Linked DNA regions of Drosophila melanogaster. Changing the gene in region 2 together with the main gene of any one other region gives a genetic interaction. Each region holds a gene or a part of one and is shown on either strand. Other genes may lie near its edges.

Region 1 (7,525 bases), on a different chromosome or scaffold from region 2:
TTATATTTATATGCATGTGTTCCGCTGCAAATTATACAAAGAGTGCCAATTGTGCAAGAAATTTTGCATTCATATCGTGATCTTTCGATTTGCAACTAAAACAACTAAAGCACGCCTCATGTTTTAGATAATCAATATATACGAATAGTTTTGGTTTGATATTAATTGCTGCTAATCAAGTGAAATGTGCGCAGAAACACACTGACTTTATTATAATATTTCTATTTCTTATATTTTGCAGATTGCAGCACAAAAACAATAAAGAGTTCAGACGATAATATCCTGGAAAGAAAACATTTCGTTTCGATAAGTACGACAAGACACGAAACAACAAAATGTCTCCAAAAGCGGTAAGTTAACCAATAACTATAAAATAATAAATAATTAGTACTGATTAGACAGTATTATAATAAGTTCGAAATATTCCATTATAATGGTAACCATATATCACTGGAATGAAACCACAAACGAATCTGATAAAACAAATGTTTTGCACTAGCGCCTAGTAAATTATTAAAGATTAGTTATATTAAATCACAACGAAAAGTTTGTCAGCTATCAGCTATCGGAAATTGTGTTCTTATCAAGAGAGCACTTCAGCTACAATTGTCGTCAATTGTGGAGTGTTGGGATCGCATCGCATCTTTTAATAGAACTTCTTCTGGGGGGGAATGGGGATGGCCAGGCGAAGACGTCATATTGGCCCAACTGTTGACGTTGGTAATTGTATTTGATTCTTGGACATTTGCCAAAAAAAATTTCATCATTTCATCAGATACGCAGACGGCGAAAAATTGGATTAGAAGACGACGTCATTGATATGAACACATGAGTAGATCATTATTTCATACCAAAGCATTTGCCAATTTCTTTTTGACATGTTGTGATTTCTTTTTTTTTTTTTTTGGCAACCGGAAAAGTTCTTATCTCACCCAGCGATGGTCTAATGACATTTTTGCCTCAACTTGATTGTTAATGAATGATGTATTTGTTATGAGTTCATCATGACAATCAAACACGTGATTTGAAGTGATTTTATAATACAATTTGGATGATTGAAAGGTGATTTTTGCACAAAGCTTTAAGAAGTCGTTTGCCTTTTAGGGAAATTTCTCTGTTCCAATGCAGTAGTCGATGCACATCGTGCTTGAATGGTTTCTCCATAACTTTCCCTTTTTCGCTATAGTTTTTCTCATCCATAACTAGATGTTTATTGGTCTGTTTGAATAGCTTGATATGTGAGTGCGGAGTGGGGAGGGGGGAGGGGTTTAATTGCTATTTGAGGCCCAAAAGCGGCATCAATAAAACAGAATTGACAGCCAACGCGTCGTATGATTGACGCTGATTTGTTTGCCTACCTTGGGGCTGCGTTTCTACGGCGCTCTCTCGTGCTCTTCGGCGCACAGCGCTGGCCAAATGACTAGTGTTCAAACTAAAAATTAGCTAACTATACAGCTAATTCAATCAATAATTCATTTAGAGAATTGGTTGTGTTTTGATTTATATATATATTTTTTAAATATATTTTACCATATTGCACTATTTACTTGACCCCCATTGCATTCACATACTTCTCTCGTTCTGGAAAACCCATTTGACCTCTATGGTCAGCAGTTCTTTTCTTTATGGTTGCGGCTGTCCACTTTTAGATGCATAATTAACATGCAATTTATATTAACTTGACAACGAATGACTGGGATAAAAATTTTCCCATTTTCTTGGGCAGAAATTAAGTTCATTTTGTGTTGTGTTGTGTGTTCCCTTAGCGTTTCTTTTGCGTTCTGCCGCCGCCGCCGCTTTCCCAGTGTTGTTTTTTGTTTTTCTTCTCTTCTAGCATTTATTTTCCTTTTGCCTTTTGCGCTTGTCTTCCCCATTTGGCGACTTAAAAACGTGCCGTGACTTTTCCATTTTCCTCAGTTGCCGCTGGACAACAGAATCGAATCGTCGCTTTTCCGCTTTTAACCATCGTGTCGCGTTGGTCGGTTGGTTTTCCCGCGTAGCTTGTGGCTGCTCAAGAATATATATATATTTCCCAGACGGAGATTTGCATTGAAAAGGCGTAATAATTCAAAAGCTACTGCGCAATCCGTTTTCGGTGCCCAAAATGGTCGTCGTCTCCGACAGCCGCGTCCGTTTGCCGCGTTACGGCGGAGTCAGCGTCAAACGGAAAACGGTACGGACCACACTGCTCACTATTTTCCACGTTTTTCCTGCTAAGCTGGAAAAGCGCATCCCCCTTTTCTTTTTTTTTTTTTTCATGTGCTGCACTTTTGTGGTTTCAAGTCAAAAACCATTTTTTTTTCTTTTTTAAAAACTGGTTATTATGCTCCAACTTCCGTTGCAAATAGCTGTTGTGTTTTTCATTCTCAGCGGCCAGGGGGAGAAAAAAACAAAGCAGAAACCACGGTGGTTGCATTAACCCAAAAACGTTAATTGGATTGAAATGAAAAACGTTTTCAATTTCCTAACATTGTGTCACGTTTGATTTGCATTCAGCAGCCGAAAGCGAAAACAAAACAATGAGCCCTCGGACTGAAAAGCAAAACCGAGCCAAACAAAATGATGAAGTTAAAAAATTTTAATTTGTTGGGTCTACCACACATTGTTTTTTCCCATGCCCAGAAAATGGTAACAAAAACCAGCGGATTTTCAAAGGGCCTTTAAAACTGAAATTGGTTCAATCAATCTTAACAGATAGGAAATAAAATAGTTTAAAAAAATTTGTAGCTGATTTAGGTATTTAGCAAAATTCCTTTGTATATTTCAATAAAGTAAAGGAATATTTTAAACGAATGGTTTTTAATGTAAGACTTACATTTGTTGGCCATGTTGTAAAAAGCGAACTGAATTGTTAGTTATATATACTCTATTGTCTGCGCTGCATATTAACCCCAATTTTGATCTACGATCGCATTTACTTTGATCCAAATGTGGCGATTGCGCAATGGTATGTAGTGTAGTTAGTACAGGTTGACATGTGCATGTGCTGTGTGTCCGACGTTGGGTGGCGATGTGGGTGGAATTTCCCTAGCTTTTCCGCCATTTCACATTGCAAGTTGGTCAAGTGGCACGCGCAGTGGGATAGATAGCGGCTGAGCTCTCTCTTTCTATCTCTCTCTTGTATAACCACCGATTACCACTCGCTGGCCATCCGGTCTATATTCCCATACACACACACACACACACACACGCACACCCCACACCCTGTGTTTTCCCCCCACTTATTTCCACTATCTAGAGCTGCCTGGTCATTTCCAGCTTGTTGCTATTGTCATGCCTGATTGATTTTTGCTTTGCTGTTTTCCAAGCGTGATTTTTCACTGCGGCCCGCTTTCATTTTCCCTCTTTCCATTTTGCCCTCCATTTTCCCCCATTTCCCCCCATTTTTTCAAGCATTTTTCACCCATTTGAAACGTGTGTGTGCGCGCGTTTAAGTCGAAAGCCCGACTTATGCAAGTCGTGGCAATCGAATCCAATCCTCCAAAGCGAAACGGGAGCTCTTGGCACGTGCCCTGCTCACATCCCGTTAATCCATCGACCCCTAAACAAATCGTGGGGGATTCTCCTCTGCACGCCACCTTCATCGATGGGTGTCAATTTTTTACTCTTTTTTTTTTCTATTTGGCTTGTGAGCATGCCCAGTTAGTTTGATCTAGTTAGCTTTTCATGTCATGGATGATGGCACTTTTAACTTAAGAAATGCAGCAAAAGAAACAAATAAGTTACATTTAATTAATAAAACATTCTGTTTGATTCATTCGTTTTTAGTTTGCCTTCTAAAGGCAATGCTTTGTTCTTTTATATATATATATATATATATATTTTTGCGTTATTTTAATCATTTAATACGATATTTTTTTAATATCACGACATCCCTTACTAATTTCAGCTAAATGTGCGCGTCACGACAATGGACGCGGAACTGGAGTTCGCCATTCAGTCGACGACGACGGGCAAGCAATTGTTTGACCAGGTGGTGAAGACGATCGGCCTGCGAGAGGTTTGGTTCTTTGGACTCCAGTACACCGACTCCAAGGGCGACTCCACATGGATCAAGCTGTACAAAAAGGTAGGCGACTATAAATTTCATACAAATAAAGTTTGAAGTTTATAGTTCAAAAGAATATAAATTTAAATTATTTACTAAGATTGCATGTACATCATAATATTTATAAATGTAATGTATGGTACATACATAATATAGCCCGAATCGCCGGCCATAAAGACAATAAAATATTTAAAGCGTGTAAAGAAGTATGTGGACAAAAAGACAGCCGACAGCAATGGAGTAAATCATTTAGAGACGAGCGAAGAGGATGACGACGCCGATGATATGGTGGGCAGAGATCGAGAATATATTTATATATATATATATATGCCAATCCAGCAAAGTACATCCACAAAAAGTCCCAGCTAGAACATAAACCGAATTATCCTGTAAAATGCCAATTCTATAATTGTATTGTATCGCCTCGCCTTCGAATGCTTAGCTTAAGTTAATTAGCGATTGTTAGAGACTTGATTTACTAATACAAATGCAATCTCTGTATATGATTTAATGCTGCACCACAACAACAAACAGACTGGATCAATGCCGTTTTCGACATGGGTAACACTCAGACGCCGCATGCACTTTTTTATCTATGATATTATGTTTATTATTTCATTATTGAATCGGGAAAACCAAACGTTTTTTTTTTTTTCGTATACAAATCCATTTGCAGTTTGTAAACTTTAGCGTGCATTCGCATCTAATAGTGATATGTTTTCGCTTTTCACAGGTGATGAACCAGGACGTGAAGAAGGAGAATCCCTTGCAGTTTAGGTTCCGTGCCAAATTCTATCCCGAGGATGTGGCCGAGGAGCTGATCCAGGACATTACACTGCGTCTGTTCTACCTGCAGGTGAAGAATGCCATACTGACCGACGAGATCTATTGTCCGCCAGAGACATCCGTGCTGCTCGCCTCGTACGCCGTCCAGGCGCGTCATGGTGACCACAATAAGACCACCCACACAGCCGGCTTTCTGGCCAACGATCGCCTGCTGCCGCAGCGCGTCATCGACCAGCACAAGATGTCCAAGGACGAGTGGGAGCAGTCGATTATGACCTGGTGGCAGGAGCATCGCAGCATGCTGCGCGAGGATGCCATGATGGAGTATCTGAAGATCGCCCAAGACCTGGAGATGTACGGCGTTAACTACTTTGAGATCCGCAACAAGAAGGGCACGGATCTTTGGCTGGGCGTAGACGCACTGGGTCTGAACATTTACGAGCAGGACGATAGGTTGACGCCGAAAATTGGTTTCCCATGGTCCGAGATTCGCAACATTTCGTTCTCGGAGAAGAAGTTCATCATCAAGCCGATCGACAAGAAGGCTCCGGACTTTATGTTCTTTGCGCCACGTGTCCGCATCAACAAGCGCATTCTGGCCCTCTGCATGGGCAACCACGAGCTGTACATGCGTCGCCGCAAGCCGGACACCATCGATGTGCAGCAGATGAAGGCGCAGGCGCGCGAGGAGAAGAATGCCAAACAGCAGGAACGGTTAGTACGGATTTCAAGTCATGTCTGTTTGAATGAATCAAAACTTTGGGAATTTCAACGAAATACAACGTTTCAATGACCCGAAACATAATGATTCGAGCATATCATTTCCATGAGAGTCTGATTCATGCACAGGCTATAATCTGCAAGCAGATGATTCCCTTCTTATTTTCGGTGTTCTTTCGTTTTTGCAGTGAGAAGCTGCAGCTGGCGCTGGCCGCACGCGAACGCGCTGAAAAGAAGCAGCAGGAGTACGAGGATCGGCTAAAGCAGATGCAGGAGGACATGGAGCGTTCGCAGCGCGATCTGCTTGAGGCGCAGGACATGATCCGCCGGCTGGAGGAGCAGCTGAAGCAGCTGCAGGCCGCCAAGGATGAGCTGGAGCTGCGCCAGAAGGAGCTGCAGGCGATGCTGCAGCGCCTCGAGGAGGCCAAGAATATGGAGGCCGTCGAGAAGCTCAAGCTCGAGGAGGAGATCATGGCCAAGCAGATGGAGGTGCAGCGCATTCAGGACGAGGTCAACGCCAAGGATGAGGAGACAAAGCGTCTGCAGGACGAAGTGGAAGACGCCCGACGCAAGCAGGTCATTGCGGTACACTTTTTTCACTATTTGTTGGCATCGAAAAAACCAATGAATATAGTCTTGATACCATTTTGTGTTCAACTTTATACTGAACATTGTCGTTTTTGTAGGCTGAAGCCGCTGCCGCTCTGCTGGCCGCGTCGACAACGCCGCAGCATCACCACGTGGCCGAGGATGAGAACGAGAACGAGGAGGAGCTGACGAACGGCGATGCCGGTGGCGATGTGTCGCGCGACCTGGACACCGACGAGCATATCAAGGACCCCATCGAGGACAGACGCACGCTGGCCGAGCGCAACGAACGCTTGCACGATCAGCTCAAGGTGGGTTCGAAATCGAGTCCCTTATGCTCCACTCAACTAACAATATCAATTTGATATATATATATATCTATATCTAGGCTCTGAAACAAGATTTGGCGCAGTCTCGCGACGAGACGAAAGAGACGGCAAACGATAAGATTCATCGCGAGAACGTTCGCCAGGGACGTGACAAGTACAAGACGCTCCGCGAGATTCGTAAGGGCAACACAAAGCGTCGCGTCGATCAGTTTGAGAACATGTAAAAGCTATCAAAGATCAGAGATCGATAGTGCGCGGGAAAGAGAGAGGGAGCGGTGAGACTCCAGAAAGAAAAAGAAAAAGATATAACTACAGCAAGAGCAGATAATAATAATGATGATTGATAATGATGAAGATGATGATGAAGAATAAGCAACAAATATAATTCCGGTCGCTGGCAAAAGCCTATTGCTAACTATCCCACCAGCGACGACCCTTTTCCACCCATAAGAACACTTCCTGCCTCCTAAAGTGAATTGAAATGAAATATACTTTGTTTGACCGTCGTTTTGTCTCGCAGCTTTTGTATAGAAGAATCAAGAATAAGCAAAAAGAAAAAAAGAAAAAATAAATTAATGGAAACTAATTTAGCCGGACACAGCACTCATCAATATGAATAGAATGAGAAGACGGTTAGGAAGGACCGCATCTATATGGACAATCAGCAAATGAATGAGGATCAAGCTATCGGAAAATATGTCTAAATCCAAGCAGAAGCAATAGAAAATATACATTTCTCCTTTTCCCAATGGATTCATTGAGAAAACGGAACGAATAGTAATAGATATTGAAAAGGAACATCAGCAACAATAAACAACAACAACATCAACAACAACAAGAACAGCTACTACAACAAAACAAACAACTATTTGCATTTTCCCCCGTTATAATTATTATTTTTATTATTATATAATTACTATTTTTTTTAAATTTGTATAATTAAATAAGAACTTGATTAATTGTTTCTTAAATTAACTTGAGAGAGAGCAACAAACAAAAAGAGAAAAAATATATTATATAAAATATTTTTCTTTAATCTATTTTTGTTTTGCAA
Region 2 (4,837 bases):
TAGCAGTTTATTGAGATAACAAATGACTTCGTTGACTTCTAAGTACCTTGGACAGACCGACATAGTTGAATTTCTCGAACTCCAGACGATTCCGTTCGCCCACCACTCCACGCAGCTGTCCATCGAAGATCCTGCCTGCGGTTACCGTGGGAACGGACATACCGTCGCCCAGGAAAAATATGACATTCTTGGCACGATATTGGTTTGGTGGAGTGGATAGCTTATTGTAGAGCGTGCGCTGGGCGTCGTGAAACCAGAACTCCTTGCTCTTCAACTCGGAAATAGAGTCGAGGTCCCAGGATTGCTCTGAAAGTAATGCGATTTTAGCTTATTTCATTATAAATTAAGAATGCATATTATTCTGATTAATTGAAACCATTTTTTGTTACTAGCCGATATGCATACACATTTCAAGTACAACCTCAAGAATTTATCAATTCCAAGCACATGTTTCGTTTTACAAAACAAAAGCACAGACACAATTGCCATTGTTTTCCACTCCACTTTCGAATTAATCATTAAAAAGGGAAATTGCTTTCAGAAGATAGCACATAAATAAAACACCGAAAGAAACCTATGGAAATTAAGCATTAAAATTAATTCAAATTTAAATTTTAAAGTATTAGTCTTATATCCACTTTCGTTAAAACATTCTCCTTCGGAAAAAGTGATGTTTGACAGCTCTGTTAGCGGGTGTCAAATATTTAATTCAATTTACGAGTATTTTGCTGACGCCTTTTATACTCCGTTTAGCACTTGATTAATCAATTCTGCATATGTTTTGAGTTTGCTTTCGACCTGGCACACTCTCACTCGTTTTTCATTTATTCATTTCGGGTCTTTTGGGCCCGTTTCTGATCTCGGTCTTGACGTTACGCACCTGGCCCATATTTGTACTGGCTGCTACAGGCCGTGAGTTGGAGGGCAAGAGCCGCAAAGAACCGGAGAGCACGCATCGCACGGAATTTTGATGAACTAACTTTCGACTGGTCGGGGCGTTACGAAGTCTACGGATCGACTAAGCCGCATTTCGCAGTTGGAGGCTTATTTATACGAGCCCGGTAAGACAGGGACCGAAAATGCGAGTCGAATTATAAAAAAACACTGAGACAATAAATTAAAACCCGTCCCTGTATTATAAAGCTTCTAAATACACCTACCAACCGGAATTTCGGGATGAAAGAAAGGCATTTATGCCCTTATTCAAATTATGCAGCCAGCACAGCTTAGATTAAAATGATGTTCTCCAAAAATCAGGTTCGTTGCATTGGTCATTTGCATAATATCTTGCATCGCAGTAGGAGATGATGTAATTAGTGGATGCATCGAAGCAGCCTAATTCATTCTGCGATCTAAAGTTCATTAACCGTGCCAAACACCGGATACTGATAAATATCTCCAATACACTAATTTGTAACGTTAATTTGAATTAAGTTGCTTTTGATTTTTTTTATAAACGAGTTGCACTTATTTTGTCTACCAGTTATTTGACTTTTTTAAGAAAAGTAATAATCTTCAATTTTATTTCTGCTAAACAGGTTTCAAATACCCTGAGTTGTACAATGTTAAATTTTAAGTTTTGAATAACATTCTGGGTAAGCAAAATAGTTTTGTATACCTACATTATTATTAAATTTGGTATGAACATATTTATTGAACGGAAGGAAAACTGTCTAAAATTCGACTTATTTGTTTTATAAGGCATCATTGTTGGTCATTTTCATTTCTATACGACATTTTCCTAATCTAACATTTTAATTTTGGAGAAAAAGTGCAAAATAATAATTTATAATTTTGAATAATAACATTAAGCAGTTCATTTTAGACATGGATCGATTTTCAATAATAAATCTCAGGACTTATATACATTTTCGAGACAAAATATAGGGGGAAGAATATAATTAAAATGCAGTTCTATATATCTGCTATTTGAATGCCGCGCCAGATATCGATATAATTGAAGTGCTGTAAAGCGTAGCAAGGAAGTGATGCTAAACGCATCACGCGCTAAGGCACTTTTGGGTATTAGTCGAAAGTGACTTTCTCACAAGTTGGCAGTTCCATTCCAATTGTTGTAAAAACCTAGCTAAAATTTCAGTTTTGCGAACATTCCGCCTACTTAAATCAACAAATTTCAGATTGCGAAACGCGTAAAAAGTGCGAAGGAAATGCTCTAAGATCAAGGTCACCGGCGAAGGTCACCAACGACAGCTAGGGCAACCACAAAAGGTGTGTGGCTGTGCAGCAAACAAAGGGAATGCGAATTGCAAACATTCCGACAAACAGACAAACTAACAAACAAGCACGAATATAGAATATAGAATCAAGAACCTGGCTGAGACGCATAAAAGCGAATGTGATATAAGTGGGCCACGGGGCTAATTCGATTGTCTGTCTCTCCAGGAACAACTTGTCTCCAGCGATAACTCGAAGGTCATCAAAGTGTCTGCCTACGAAAGCATGGACTTACAGCATATGGAGAATGGTCTAAGCGGCGGGGGAGGAGGTGGCCTAAGCGAAATAGATTTCCAAAGGCTGGCCCAGATTATAGCCACCAGCATCCAGAAGGTGCAGCAGAATGGTGAGTGGCGTCGAAGCACTTGCCAACTTTCGCCTATGACTAATCTAGGTTTCTGTCTCTTTCGCAGTGTCCACGATGCAGCGCATGGTCAATCAACTGAACACGCCCCAAGATTCTCCGGAGCTCAAGAAGCAGCTGTAAGATGATTATCATTACGATCTCTTCGTTTGGAATTTAAACTGTCCCCATAGATAGAACCCATTGCAGATATACATCGATTATTCGAATATCTCTCAGACAAATCATAAATTCTAAAGACATAGTGAAGATCTCTATTGGGTGTTTACTCACAATGTCTAAAAATCTTCTTAAGCCAATACAGCCTTTTAATACATTTTGCGCACATCAACCGACCACATAAACCAACAGCAAAATAACATTGTAGTCAGTCATTGGTTTTGAAAGTTTAAACGTATCAGCACAGTGTGATTCACAAATCAAATCAATGTATAACGCACGATAAAAATAACAATCCCTTACTCCACAGCCACCAAATAATGACCTACACCAACCAGCTGGTGACCGACACAAACAATCAAATCAACGAGGTGGACAAGTGCAAGGAGCGCCACCTGAAGATCCAGCGGGATAGGCTCGTGGACGAGTTCACGGCGGCACTGACCGCCTTCCAGGTTTGTTTTTGTTCTCCCAGATAAGCAAATGGTTTTGTGAGTCATGCTGATTGTTTATCATTGGTATTTTTAGTCTGTTCAGCGCAAGACGGCGGACATAGAGAAGACGGCGTTGCGGCAGGCGCGCGGAGATAGCTACAACATCGCCCGTCCACCCGGCTCATCGCGTACCGGCAGCTCCAACAGTAGCGCCAGCCAGCAGGACAACAACTCCTTCTTCGAGGACAACTTCTTCAATCGCAAATCAAACCAGCAACAGATGCAGACTCAGATGGAGGAGCAGGCGGACCTGCAGGCCCTCGAGGAACAGGAGCAGGTCATACGGGAGTTGGAGAACAACATCGTGGGCGTGAACGAGATATACAAGAAGCTTGGCGCCCTGGTCTACGAGCAGGGACTGACGGTGGACTCCATCGAGTCGCAGGTGGAACAGACTAGCATTTTTGTCTCGCAGGGCACGGAAAATCTGCGCAAGGCGAGCTCTTACAGGGTAAGTGCCGCCCCTACAAGGTTATTATTTTAAATAATTTAAATATGTTGTTTATTAGAACAAAGTGCGCAAGAAGAAGCTTATTTTGGTGGGCATCCTGAGCGCCGTGCTGCTGGCCATCATCTTGATACTCGTTTTTCAGTTCAAGAATTAGAGCCTTCCGGCATCTCCGAATGATTCAAACCAAACTAGTAAATTGTTGTGAAAAGACAAGAGTTGCCGCATGCAGGCCCCTAAACCCCGTAATTCCCCACCCAATCCTTTGGACCTTAGGCGAGATTATGGCTTTAATCCTTAATCCAACTTCCAATACTGGCTGAAATCGAAAACTGCGACTCGTAGACGAAGATATAGTGTTTTGAGGAGTATTCACCGGCACGTGCATCTGTTATATTTGCTTTAAAAACAATTTTATATTTTATGTGTACTACTTTTATTATTACGCACCCTGTATATTGATTATTAGTATTGATTAACAACTGTTGGCTTCAAATTCTAATTATGTTCCGAAACTCATTCGCCAGCGCTTTGTATTGTATTGTATTGTATTTAGAGTTAAGAGGCAGAGGAAGCCATATATGCGATGGCATACACACATGTACGAAAAATGAAATAATAAACATGAAAATCGATCCTGCGTGCGTTGAAAACACTTGGAGCACTTCATTTAGGGCCCGACCTGAATGAATCAATGAATGGAACTCGCCAGCTCTTCTGGGCATTCGGAGAAGTGCATGGTCATCGACTCCTCCTTGGCTTAGCGATCATTAAGATTTCGTGTTGGCCATTGTTACGCATGCTTTAGCGGCTTAGGAGCTCCCATCTCCCGACTCCCAACCCGATCTCGATCCCAAAACATTGGTACCAATCCGACTATGTGTTCAGCGAGCGCACACTCTCCGATGGCACATTAATGCCGCGACAGACCTGGATGCGGTGGACCCACTTCAGCTTGCTGCATCGTTGAGGTGTGTCAGCCGGGGCTAAAGGGTTTCCTCGTCGCCGGACCCCATCTTCCTCCACATTTGAAATTCCAGCTCCGCAGGCCTGCATACAAATTGAGTTTAAATTTTTTGCCAATTCACTGACATTGATAGTTCGTTTGGGCATCATTTGTGTGGTGGCTTCTTATCC
Region 3 (4,856 bases), on a different chromosome or scaffold from region 2:
GATCAGGAAACTGAGAAAGCACAAGGCAGATATATCCAAGGATCAGCCGCCGGCGCTACCGTGTCCACCAGACTTGACTTCTGTGAGTCCGCAACACCATCTGCACCATCATCATGGCCACCATTACGCAAGTTCCGAGGCGGATTCCGTGCCGGCCACAGGAAATTCAACACCGTTACCGGGTTTCAGCAATATTCCCCATTGCAAGATAATACCCGTGGAGTCGTACAAACATGAGTATCCCGACTACGATCCCGATGAGGAGGAGACGGACGATCAGTGCGATCCGCAGCAAATGATGCTGCCGCAGAGATATAATCCTTATCACATGGAGCACGACGCCTGGAGTTCGTCCTGCGATATGGCGAATGATTTTGCTGGCTATGCCTCTGTGCCACAAAGTATTTCCGGATCGGTCAGCTCACCGCCCTCGGCCCCGCCAACAAATCCACTACTTAGGCGGAATCAGTATTGGGTGTAAGGTTTAGAAGGATGTTCTGCAATAAAGGGATCAATACAAGCGTTTCCAATTCGATCGGAATTAGTCCTAGGTTATTTATTTAAATATAAGCTTACGTTTAAGGCTGATTTATGAGATTCGTTAGGAAAAGTGAAGCATTTTATATACGAAAACATTAATTATAGTTTGGAAACAAGCACACATACATATCTGGCGTGTCATATACAAACGATTAGCATTAAGGACGAGAACAAGAGTTATACTCAAAAAGCCAACTTAACTTAGCCTTAGAATTGTGTTTGCCAACGTGGAATACTTTTTACAATAAATGACAATACTTTTAAGCGTAGTTCCCGTGTCTTATTTCAAAACTCAAAAAATTTTCAGGAAGATTTATTTCGCATTCGTAATTATTTTAACCGGATGGAAGTGTGTTGAGAAACGTTTGTGGTGATTGCGAATGAATTGGTTTTCCCCCATATTACCATTTACAAAACTTTTCCACATAAAAAACTTAACATGATAATAAATTGAACATTATAAATATATTTCTTAACAGTTATAAATATGTCTCTTCGTTCATAGTTGTGATGTTGTAAGTATTTTCGTTGCTTTAAGGAAAATATTAAAGTAAAGAGAAAAAAGTTCCTTTACATATAATTTCATACAGATCGAATATAAGTTTTCAGGGCCACATTGGGTTATCAAAAATATGTCCCAACATATATAAACCTATTAATTAAGGTTTATATTCTACAGATATGCGTATATATTCCATATTGATAGAAGACTTCTTGCTTAATAACTATGAAAAATATCACTAGTTTTAATGTGGTGCACATTTTGCTTTCGCTGGACTGATTTAGAAGTAAGAGTTTTCAAGTACTTGTATGGCCTTAGAAAGCGACGGGAATCGTCGCTGCTGAGGGTTTCTCGGAAACCGGCGTTACGACCATGGCCTGATTATCGTATCCGTATCCGATCTCCGTCATAACCGTTGTGGGCGTGGTACTGTTTTCCGCCGGATAGCGAGTGCTCACCGGCGTTGTCATAGTCACAACGGAACCCTCGGCAGCACCTGTAATAAATCATTGCAGGTATAATGTGTACATTGGGAAGTGTTATTGGAAAAACCCGGACAGGTAGATCCTTACACTTACCTGCCACACTGTAGATCTGTGATTGTGCCCGCTCAAGGTCGCTGCCGGGATGGTTAATGGCATTCAGATTCTGTATGGTGGTAGCATTAAGATCCTTTCCATTTGCAGTTGCCGGATGAGGGTAGGCCTTCGATTGGAGACGGCGCATCAGCTTCTGGAAGCACCGATTGCCTATCAGCCATCGAAGGAACTGAAACGCGCAACGAAGCGCAATCAGGACGAGAAGGATAGTCAGCAGCAAGAGGATCAGCTGCTGGGTATTCTGGATGTCCAGCATCTCGGCTTTTAACGGCTCAAATGTCTTGTAAGCTGTGGGTTGATAAAGAAATTAAATAATATCGCTACTATTATCGTTTTAAGTAAATAATAATTGATAAAACACGGGAACGTTTTTGATAACTCGTTGTACATAGTCAGATAAAAATTGCAAATGCAACTGGCCTTATCTTGCCATTACAACTTTTACAAATCTTTTACACTAAAAAAATTATTATAAAGCTAGTTTCAACAAATCATTTTTATTATAAAAATGTACATTCTTTAAATCTTTAAAATACCCCCTATTTTAGTCAACTCATGGGTGATGAGTTAATCACCCGCTGAAGCAACTGTAATTGAAATACAATTAAGTCCAGCTGGAAAAACCTGAACTTGCATAGAACCCGCCAAATTACCCTATGGATCGTGAGTTAATCTGAGGTAATCTTTTGGAAATCTTTGAATTCTACTTGCCTGAACATTCCTTGGCGCACAGAAACGCATCGTAGTTGTGGGTTTGATTATTGCAGACCTCGATGCACGGATGACATCTCTCCGTTGCAACATAGCAAAATTCATTGACCGGATGACAGATCGTGCCATGGCAATCCCTACTCTCTCCATTGGCCGCAGCTACCAAGGAAACACTTGGAATCAACGGAACTCCACCAATGGAGAGCGATAGGGCACTCAACTTCCTGACCGACATTTGAGGTATTTTATAATGTGTGCTTAATTTACTTGTTATGGGTATTTGGTTTTGTAGCGAGCTCGTTCCGCTAAGTTTGATCGAAGTTTACATTAGCACTGTTACAACTTTTTCCTCGTTTTAAGGTTTTTGTTTTGTTATTTTTAAACGTATCCAAAGTATGATTCATACACCAGTAACGCGGCCCAGACGCTAACTGACTAACTTCTTTTTTAATTGCTGGCTTCTGGAGTCTGAGTATTTTGCGTTGCCCTTATACGTATAATCACATGTGTATTGGTGCAAACGAGTTTATCTTAGCCAAGTTTTACAGCAGTTTTCATAGTATTCCGGTTAGTTTCTCAACATTTTCACACATTTTTCTAGGGGATGTCCGGACACTTAATTATTAGGTTTAATTCTGTATTTTTTACACCAATATATTATATATTATATGATTTAATACGCTTTTTAACTTTAAACGTTTTTAGCCATCGTTCAGCGACGCGTTTTGAGCCACATTCAACTCGTTACTGACTGGAATGCCGCGATCGCTCGCTGTTACCAACAACTCAGCACTCGCACCGAGGCATCTATCTCAAATACACACTCATTCGCACCGTGACTTGACTTTTGTTTACCTTTTTCACGTCGATTGTAGATGCAAAAGTATCTGTATATCTATGCTGTGGCAAGTAATACAAGTATTTGTGTGTCTGCGATCGACTGTTTATTTTGCGCTATGAGTGAAATACTCCCGACTTCGGCATACTTTGAACCCGGCTTCAGTTTCTTAAATTTCGGCTGCGATTTGACTTATAAAAATAAATAACAACGAGAAGGTAGTGCCTCAAGAAGTATTTTATAGAGACTACTTGCTCACTCACTTTATTACCCAAGTTATCAATTAAAATAATAATAAAGTTTTATATGAATAAACGACAATATGTTTAAGATAACTTTTATTGAAATTCCCAGTATCCCAATATGAACTATACGTTTAAAGTTTTTTTTACAACATTACCTATTATTTAAATTTTAATTATAATACCTTACTTTCACAACTAACTAGCAGTCGTGATATTTATAAACAAGTTTCTAGCTACACAATTTTTATCTAATTAAATATGATTTTGGAATTTTTTAAGTGTAGCATTTGTTGAGGATTGAAACCTCGCTTAGCTAACGCAATGGTGTATGTCTTTACTAAACAGCAAATGCCATATACATAAATAAAAGAAATACTGAAATTCGTTGCTCCCAACTCATTTTGGAAAATTAAATAATAATAAAAAACCATATGTACATATATACCGTTTAATGAATTTATAAATCAATAGTAAAATTATAACTTTTTGTATTTAGATTTGAAATCTTTTTGAAACTTGGCAGCACTGTTTTGAGTTATTCTCTCTCCTCTCTCTTATTCTCTCTTCCATTGCAGTGCCGCTTTCGAGATACATTTGTATCGGCTTCCAGTTCCAGCGCCGCTTGCAGTATTATTGTGTCTTCCAGTTAGCTGGACTGTATGGCCAAGTCAAACAACATCCATTCGCTGAGCGGCTTTCGCTGTTGAATGAGCTGTTTTGCTGCTTTCGTGGAACGACGGCCGCCGGTTCGTTGCGTATCTTTGGGATACAATACCTAAATCAAATCGAATTTTGAATTGCAGCTGTCGTTGTTGCGCGCGTGTTGATGGTGGAAATTGTGGAATTATAAGCATTATATCTCGTGTGGAAGTGTGAAAGTGAAATAGTTGCACCGAGAGCGACGCAATTAGATGAAAATATAGTTTACTCACGCTCTGTATCGCCGCATCTATGTATCTATTTTGCCAGCCCGCTTCAACAAGTAAACCAACATAAATTAAAAATCAGTGGAGTGGAAGGCGCGTCCTTGAGCTACCCAATTTAAACACCTGTTTTAGAACGAGATACAGATATTCTATAGAGATTTGAGCCACCGAAAGAGACAGCCAGAGCCTGTTAGAAAGAGAAGGGTGGCGAGAGGAGGAGAGAGATGAATAATTTCACAACCACAACAGCAGCCGCACCACCAAAGGAAGCGCTGCCCCGATCAGGACATGTTAATGAGGGTAAGCATGGGTTAAGAACCGAACCGAAGCAAACCATTTCGAAATTGGTTGAACATGAACAATTTCGTACGGGGCCTTGGATAATTGGAAATTGATTGGGTTTGAGTGTAGCTATTGAGATGAAGGGGCTTTGGAATTGGGGCGGGGGGGGCATGAGCACCACATAGAAGTGATTAATTTGAGGTCTTTTAAAAT
Region 4 (4,772 bases), on a different chromosome or scaffold from region 2:
AGTGCTTTAAGTGTGGTGCTGTGTGCATATATGTGCATATATCAACAAGTTGCCCGCAGTCAGTTGGTTGGAAATTGGTGCAATTGGTAAAGGATTATACTAAATGGTATTGAAGTTGCTTGCTGGGTTGACACGGGTGCTGATGTTACGGTTGTGATGTACTCGGTGTACATGAGGCAAAAAGATGTTGTGCTAAGTCCATGTCGTTCTTTGTTGCGTGGCCTGGGCAAGGCGGCCACGTTGCCTCTGGGAGTTTTCGCTGGAGATGTTCAAATAGACGATATGGAGACTGTTCAAAACTTCATCGTGGTGGCGGATGAAAAAATGGAAGGTGATGGAAGTGCATTGGATACGATTTTCTATCGAAGTTTCAATTTACACTGGATGTAAATGGGTTTACGTTTTGTGTCGTTATCAGCTTGGCCTGAGGTAGCTAACATTAACCAGATAAGTATTCACGATTATGTTTGCACTGAAAGTAATGTGAATGCTCCTCCCCAATTTGCACCTATGATACGGAAGCTGATAGACGAATATCATCCAACCTCCAATTGTGCCGGATGAGAAAATTAAGACGTTTCGTCATCAACCAAGTCGACATCCGCCAGTTAAAGCCAAAGCCGTTAAAAAACAAGTCGATGACTGGTTAAAAGAAGAAATCGATTGACCATCTACTTCAAGCTTCGCCAGTAGAACTGTCGTAGTGAAGAAAAAAGTACGGCACTTACAGAATCTGTATAGGACTATCGCCAATTAAACAGCATGGTTCTCAAGGATTGCTTCCCTGTGTCGATTTCCTGCAATTCTACTGCGGCATTTATAAGATTTATAAACCACATATTCCCGAGACATTCTACAACTCTATATGGATGATATTATAATATATGGACAGACGAATGACGAATGTATTAAGAAACTAAAGTTGGTGCTATTAGAATCAGCGAAGTTCGGCTTACGTATAAAGTGAAAGAAATGTCATTTCATACGCACGATATTGGAAGAACGACCTTACAATGACCTTAAACTGAAGGGAGGAGTTTTATTCATGTTTGTCAAAGGAAATGATTTGCTTATTGTACCTAAAATAATCGAACGTAAGATTATAAACGAAGCTCATGGATTCGGACATTATGCAAACCAGAACAAACCGTACATTCTATACAACAGCAGTTTTGGATTCCACACCTAGAGAGCAAGGTCGAAAAGCTTATAGACGCGTGTATTCCGTGTATTATTACGAACAAAAAGCTGGGCAAACAGGATGGACTTTTATGATGCATTGAGAAAGGTGACAAGCCGTTACACAATATAAGTACATCTTCGCACTTGTTGGTGGATTTTTGAAATTCGTGTGGATTTTTACTACAAAATGTCTTAACAACAACTGGAGTTGCCAGAGGAAATGGGCGGGTAGAGAGAATTAAATAGATCTATCTTATCGTTTTAAAAATACAACAACGATTGAAAACTCTCGAAATGGGATGTACTGGCGCCATCTATCGGAGGTAATAGGTACCCCGAGACGCATGCAAAGCGCCAGAGGGCGACACAGCTCCTCTGACGAGATGGCATCACTATTTTTATTGGGAGTATTGGTATCTCGGGTGTAAAAATTAAATTGATGCCTAATTTTTGAAAATATGTCACACAAATAATAAGTATCTTTTAAGTGGATAGATCCATTGATGTCGCTGGAATTAAAAATACAAATACCAATGTTATCGTTATCGGCGAGTCCACACTGTGCTAGGCAAAAATATCGACGTACCTTGCGCCCGATATCTGGCACTAATGTATCGATGACGGTCTTGTTAAATTATTAAAAAAAAAACAAGTTTGTACTTGAAAAGTACGGCGTATATCTACAGCGAAGAACGCAAGAACCCGCCAAGGCAGCGTCCGATGCAGACGCCATCTGTTCAAGCATTGAGCCCGGAATCCGGAGGAATCCCGGCCAGGATGTGATGTGCGCACTGGGCCCTCTCCGCTGGTCGATATAAACTCGTGCCCCCCTCTTCTAGCCACCTTCTTGCTGTCAACCGCCTGCTCATTCTACCCCACAGTTCCAGTCCCAGTCCTGCACAGCAATCATCTTCGCCTGGAGAAGTCTACCGGTAGCACGAGTGGTGGAACCAGGCAGACTACAAAGGACACGGAGACCGCGGTGTCTGGGAAATCGGCTGAGCACGGAAACCGATCCACTAGGGTTGGCATCACGCACCACTTTGTCCAGGAACCTGCAGCTGAGGAATCTAGATAACATCTGAAGTCTCCTGGGAACTGCGAAACACACCATATCTTAGCAAAATGACGTGGTAAAAGTTGTCAGTCGCAATCTATACAAAGGCAAGAAACTTTATGATGAATCCAGGTCTAGATCTTGCAAAGATTCCGAAAACTCTGTCCCCAAGAGGGAACCAAAGGCACAGTTAGCCAGCAATGAAATCGGGAACCCACGGAATCGTAGCCACTAAAAAGGCGAAATCCCGGTAATTCTACCAAAATAGCGCACCACCTGGACACCATAGAAGAGAGCCTTAAGGCAAGGAATCGGTGGCATACTTGGACAGTTGAAGAGAACTTTAAATCTGGTAATCAGCGGCGCCAAATGCAACTGCAACTGGTAAACTAGTACTCATTTGTAAGCCAAAACACTGACAAACAAAAGCTGCATCTGAAAAGCAAGTAGAGAACACCAGGATACTTAGCGTTCCACGGAGATGGCCACAGCATCGCTGGACGCACTGCAGGCAGCCTATGTGGACTTCAGTGAGATAACACTAAGAGAGGTGTGCATACCAAACGGAATATACCCAAAGTCTAGAGCTCCTATTGGTGTATACGTATACGCAATCTTGAAACGATAAACAACCAGTAATCATATACCATTTAGGGCAGAGCAAGTACTCATTCTTAGTTAGTCAGACGATTATCGCACTTTCAAAAAGCATGTTTTAATCTATAAACGGTTATTTTTTCGTTTTAAAAGTGTATGCTTTGTAACAGCTCTGTTAAAAAACCCAAGAAAGGTTTTATATTTTAAACTTACGCATTCCTAAATGCTTACATTCGTTTTAGGATTTCGTTTCAAACTTATTAAAACAAACTACAGACTGTATACAAATATCAGCATATTTATTAACGATACGATCTTATCAGTTTGATAAGAAACGAATTTCAAATTTACCCATCACAATGCGTTCGTGTGTTCTACTTGAAGTCAATTCAAACTGTGTTAGACCAAGGTGTATAACGTAATTAGTATTGAGGAGTTTTGCACAAGGAGGGTACAACTGTTGAATCAGATCTAATAATCTTTTTCCCCGCAGAAAGTCGGCCATGGGTCCTACGGAGTGGTCTGCAAGGCCGTTTGGCGCGACAAGCTGGTTGCCGTCAAGGAGTTCTTCGCCAGCGCCGAGCAGAAGGACATCGAGAAGGAGGTGAAGCAGTTGTCGCGCGTGAAGCACCCGAACATCATCGCTCTGCACGGGATATCCTCGTACCAGCAGGCCACCTACCTGATAATGGAGTTCGCCGAAGGTGGATCGCTGCACAACTTCCTTCACGGCAAGGTGAAGCCGGCATATTCTCTGGCCCACGCCATGAGCTGGGCGCGCCAATGTGCAGAGGTAGGTCGTCGTCGAGGGGCGGGGCGGTTATAACGTAGGGCTCAACCCCGTAGCGCTTTCCATCCAATTCGTTGAAATTATCTGGTGAAATAATGACTCAAATGGATTGTGGTAATTCACATTGCTTGCATGATTACTTAAACAATTTCAATAGCTATTCCGCATAACCAGAATTAAAATAATAGTAATTTGTTTAAAGTTTAGCCCTAATTACATTTCCATTTGTTTTCCTCTCTAGGGTCTGGCATATTTGCATGCCATGACGCCAAAACCACTAATACATCGCGACGTGAAGCCGCTGAACCTGCTCTTGACCAACAAGGGACGCAATCTGAAGATATGCGACTTCGGCACGGTGGCGGACAAGTCGACCATGATGACCAACAATCGCGGCAGTGCCGCTTGGATGGCGCCCGAGGTCTTCGAAGGCTCCAAGTATACGGAGAAGTGTGACATTTTTAGCTGGGCCATTGTTCTATGGGAGGTTCTGTCCAGGAAGCAGCCCTTTAAAGGCATCGACAATGCCTACACCATCCAGTGGAAGATCTACAAGGGTGCGTCCTCCAATTCACTCTTTTTCCATCGAGCTTATCGAGATCTGTGCTCCTCGCAGGTGAACGCCCGCCGCTGCTGACCACTTGCCCCAAGCGCATCGAGGACCTGATGACCGCCTGCTGGAAAACGGTGCCCGAGGATCGCCCGTCGATGCAGTACATAGTGGGCGTTATGCACGAGATCGTCAAGGACTATACGGGGGCGGACAAGGCCCTGGAATACACGTTTGTTAATCAACAGGTGAGACAGCTTTATTGGGTCAATACACAATTGTAAAAGAGTCAATTGGTGTTTTTATCTATTGAGGAAAGCGTTCTTTTACTCTGCCCGTCTTTAAAACCTAATTTAAATTCGATATTGTTTGGCACTAAATGCAATCATTACCCTATACGGATAACATCACTTTTGCGTTATTTTCCTTTGCCACACATTGCTAACTCTTGATCCTTGAACTGCTCGCAGATTGTCACCAAAGAGAGCGACGGCACGGTGGCCGCTCAACCGGATAGCCTCAGTTCGCAGGAGGGGGAACTGAGCCCCTCGTCCACACAGTTAACACCGACAACGGCGGCCAACGCCAATGTGAAC

What was found.
Region 1: of Syx7 (region 2) and Moe, changing one suppresses a phenotype caused by changing the other (phenotypic suppression), as found in Drosophila melanogaster (one study listed by BioGRID).
Region 3: of Syx7 (region 2) and grnd, changing one suppresses a phenotype caused by changing the other (phenotypic suppression), as found in Drosophila melanogaster (one study listed by BioGRID).
Region 4: of Syx7 (region 2) and Tak1, changing one suppresses a phenotype caused by changing the other (phenotypic suppression), as found in Drosophila melanogaster (one study listed by BioGRID).

The regions. Positions count from the first base shown.
Region 1 is NC_004354.4:8,873,117-8,880,641, reverse strand, and holds Moe (moesin), read left to right. Parts: upstream 1-1,916; 5' UTR 1,917-2,104; coding exon 2,105-2,173; intron 2,174-3,480; exon of another isoform or gene 3,481-3,586; coding exon of another isoform or gene 3,587-3,628; intron 3,629-3,889; coding exon 3,890-4,069; intron 4,070-4,204; coding exon 4,205-4,336; intron 4,337-4,582; coding exon 4,583-4,609; intron 4,610-4,620; exon of another isoform or gene 4,621-4,781; coding exon 4,782-5,548; intron 5,549-5,742; coding exon 5,743-6,139; intron 6,140-6,240; coding exon 6,241-6,453; intron 6,454-6,530; coding exon 6,531-6,695; 3' UTR 6,696-7,019; downstream 7,020-7,525. UniProt on the Drosophila melanogaster protein: Involved in connections of major cytoskeletal structures to the plasma membrane. Together with wgn, involved in control of axon targeting of R8 and R2-R5 photoreceptors, independent of egr.
Region 2 is NT_037436.4:21,443,795-21,448,631, forward strand, and holds Syx7 (syntaxin 7), read left to right. Parts: upstream 1-2,039; 5' UTR 2,040-2,229; intron 2,230-2,366; 5' UTR 2,367-2,460; coding exon 2,461-2,581; intron 2,582-2,648; coding exon 2,649-2,718; intron 2,719-3,068; coding exon 3,069-3,213; intron 3,214-3,286; coding exon 3,287-3,703; intron 3,704-3,761; coding exon 3,762-3,857; 3' UTR 3,858-4,334; downstream 4,335-4,837. Other genes in the region: Alp1 (alkaline phosphatase 1), read right to left, coding at 47-306, 881-956.
Region 3 is NT_033779.5:18,483,699-18,488,554, reverse strand, and holds grnd (grindelwald), read right to left. Parts: upstream 3,139-4,856; 5' UTR 2,588-3,138; coding exon 2,353-2,587; intron 1,930-2,352; coding exon 1,621-1,929; intron 1,539-1,620; coding exon 1,357-1,538; 3' UTR 534-1,356; downstream 1-533. Other genes in the region: kon (kon-tiki), read left to right, coding at 1-481; CG10283 (uncharacterized protein), read left to right, coding at 4,586-4,661. UniProt on the Drosophila melanogaster protein: Acts as a receptor for TNF-cytokine egr. Plays a role in activation of JNK signaling and is required for egr-induced apoptosis, including in wing imaginal discs during development. May also play an egr-independent role in cell proliferation.
Region 4 is NC_004354.4:20,521,916-20,526,687, reverse strand, and holds the start of Tak1 (TGF-beta activated kinase 1), read left to right. Parts: upstream 1-1,759; 5' UTR 1,760-2,720; coding exon 2,721-2,789; intron 2,790-3,329; coding exon 3,330-3,629; intron 3,630-3,867; coding exon 3,868-4,183; intron 4,184-4,242; coding exon 4,243-4,424; intron 4,425-4,646; coding exon 4,647-4,772. UniProt on the Drosophila melanogaster protein: Component of a protein kinase signal transduction cascade. Mediator of TGF-beta signal transduction. Responsible for activation of the JNK MAPK pathway (basket, bsk and hemipterous, hep) in response to LPS.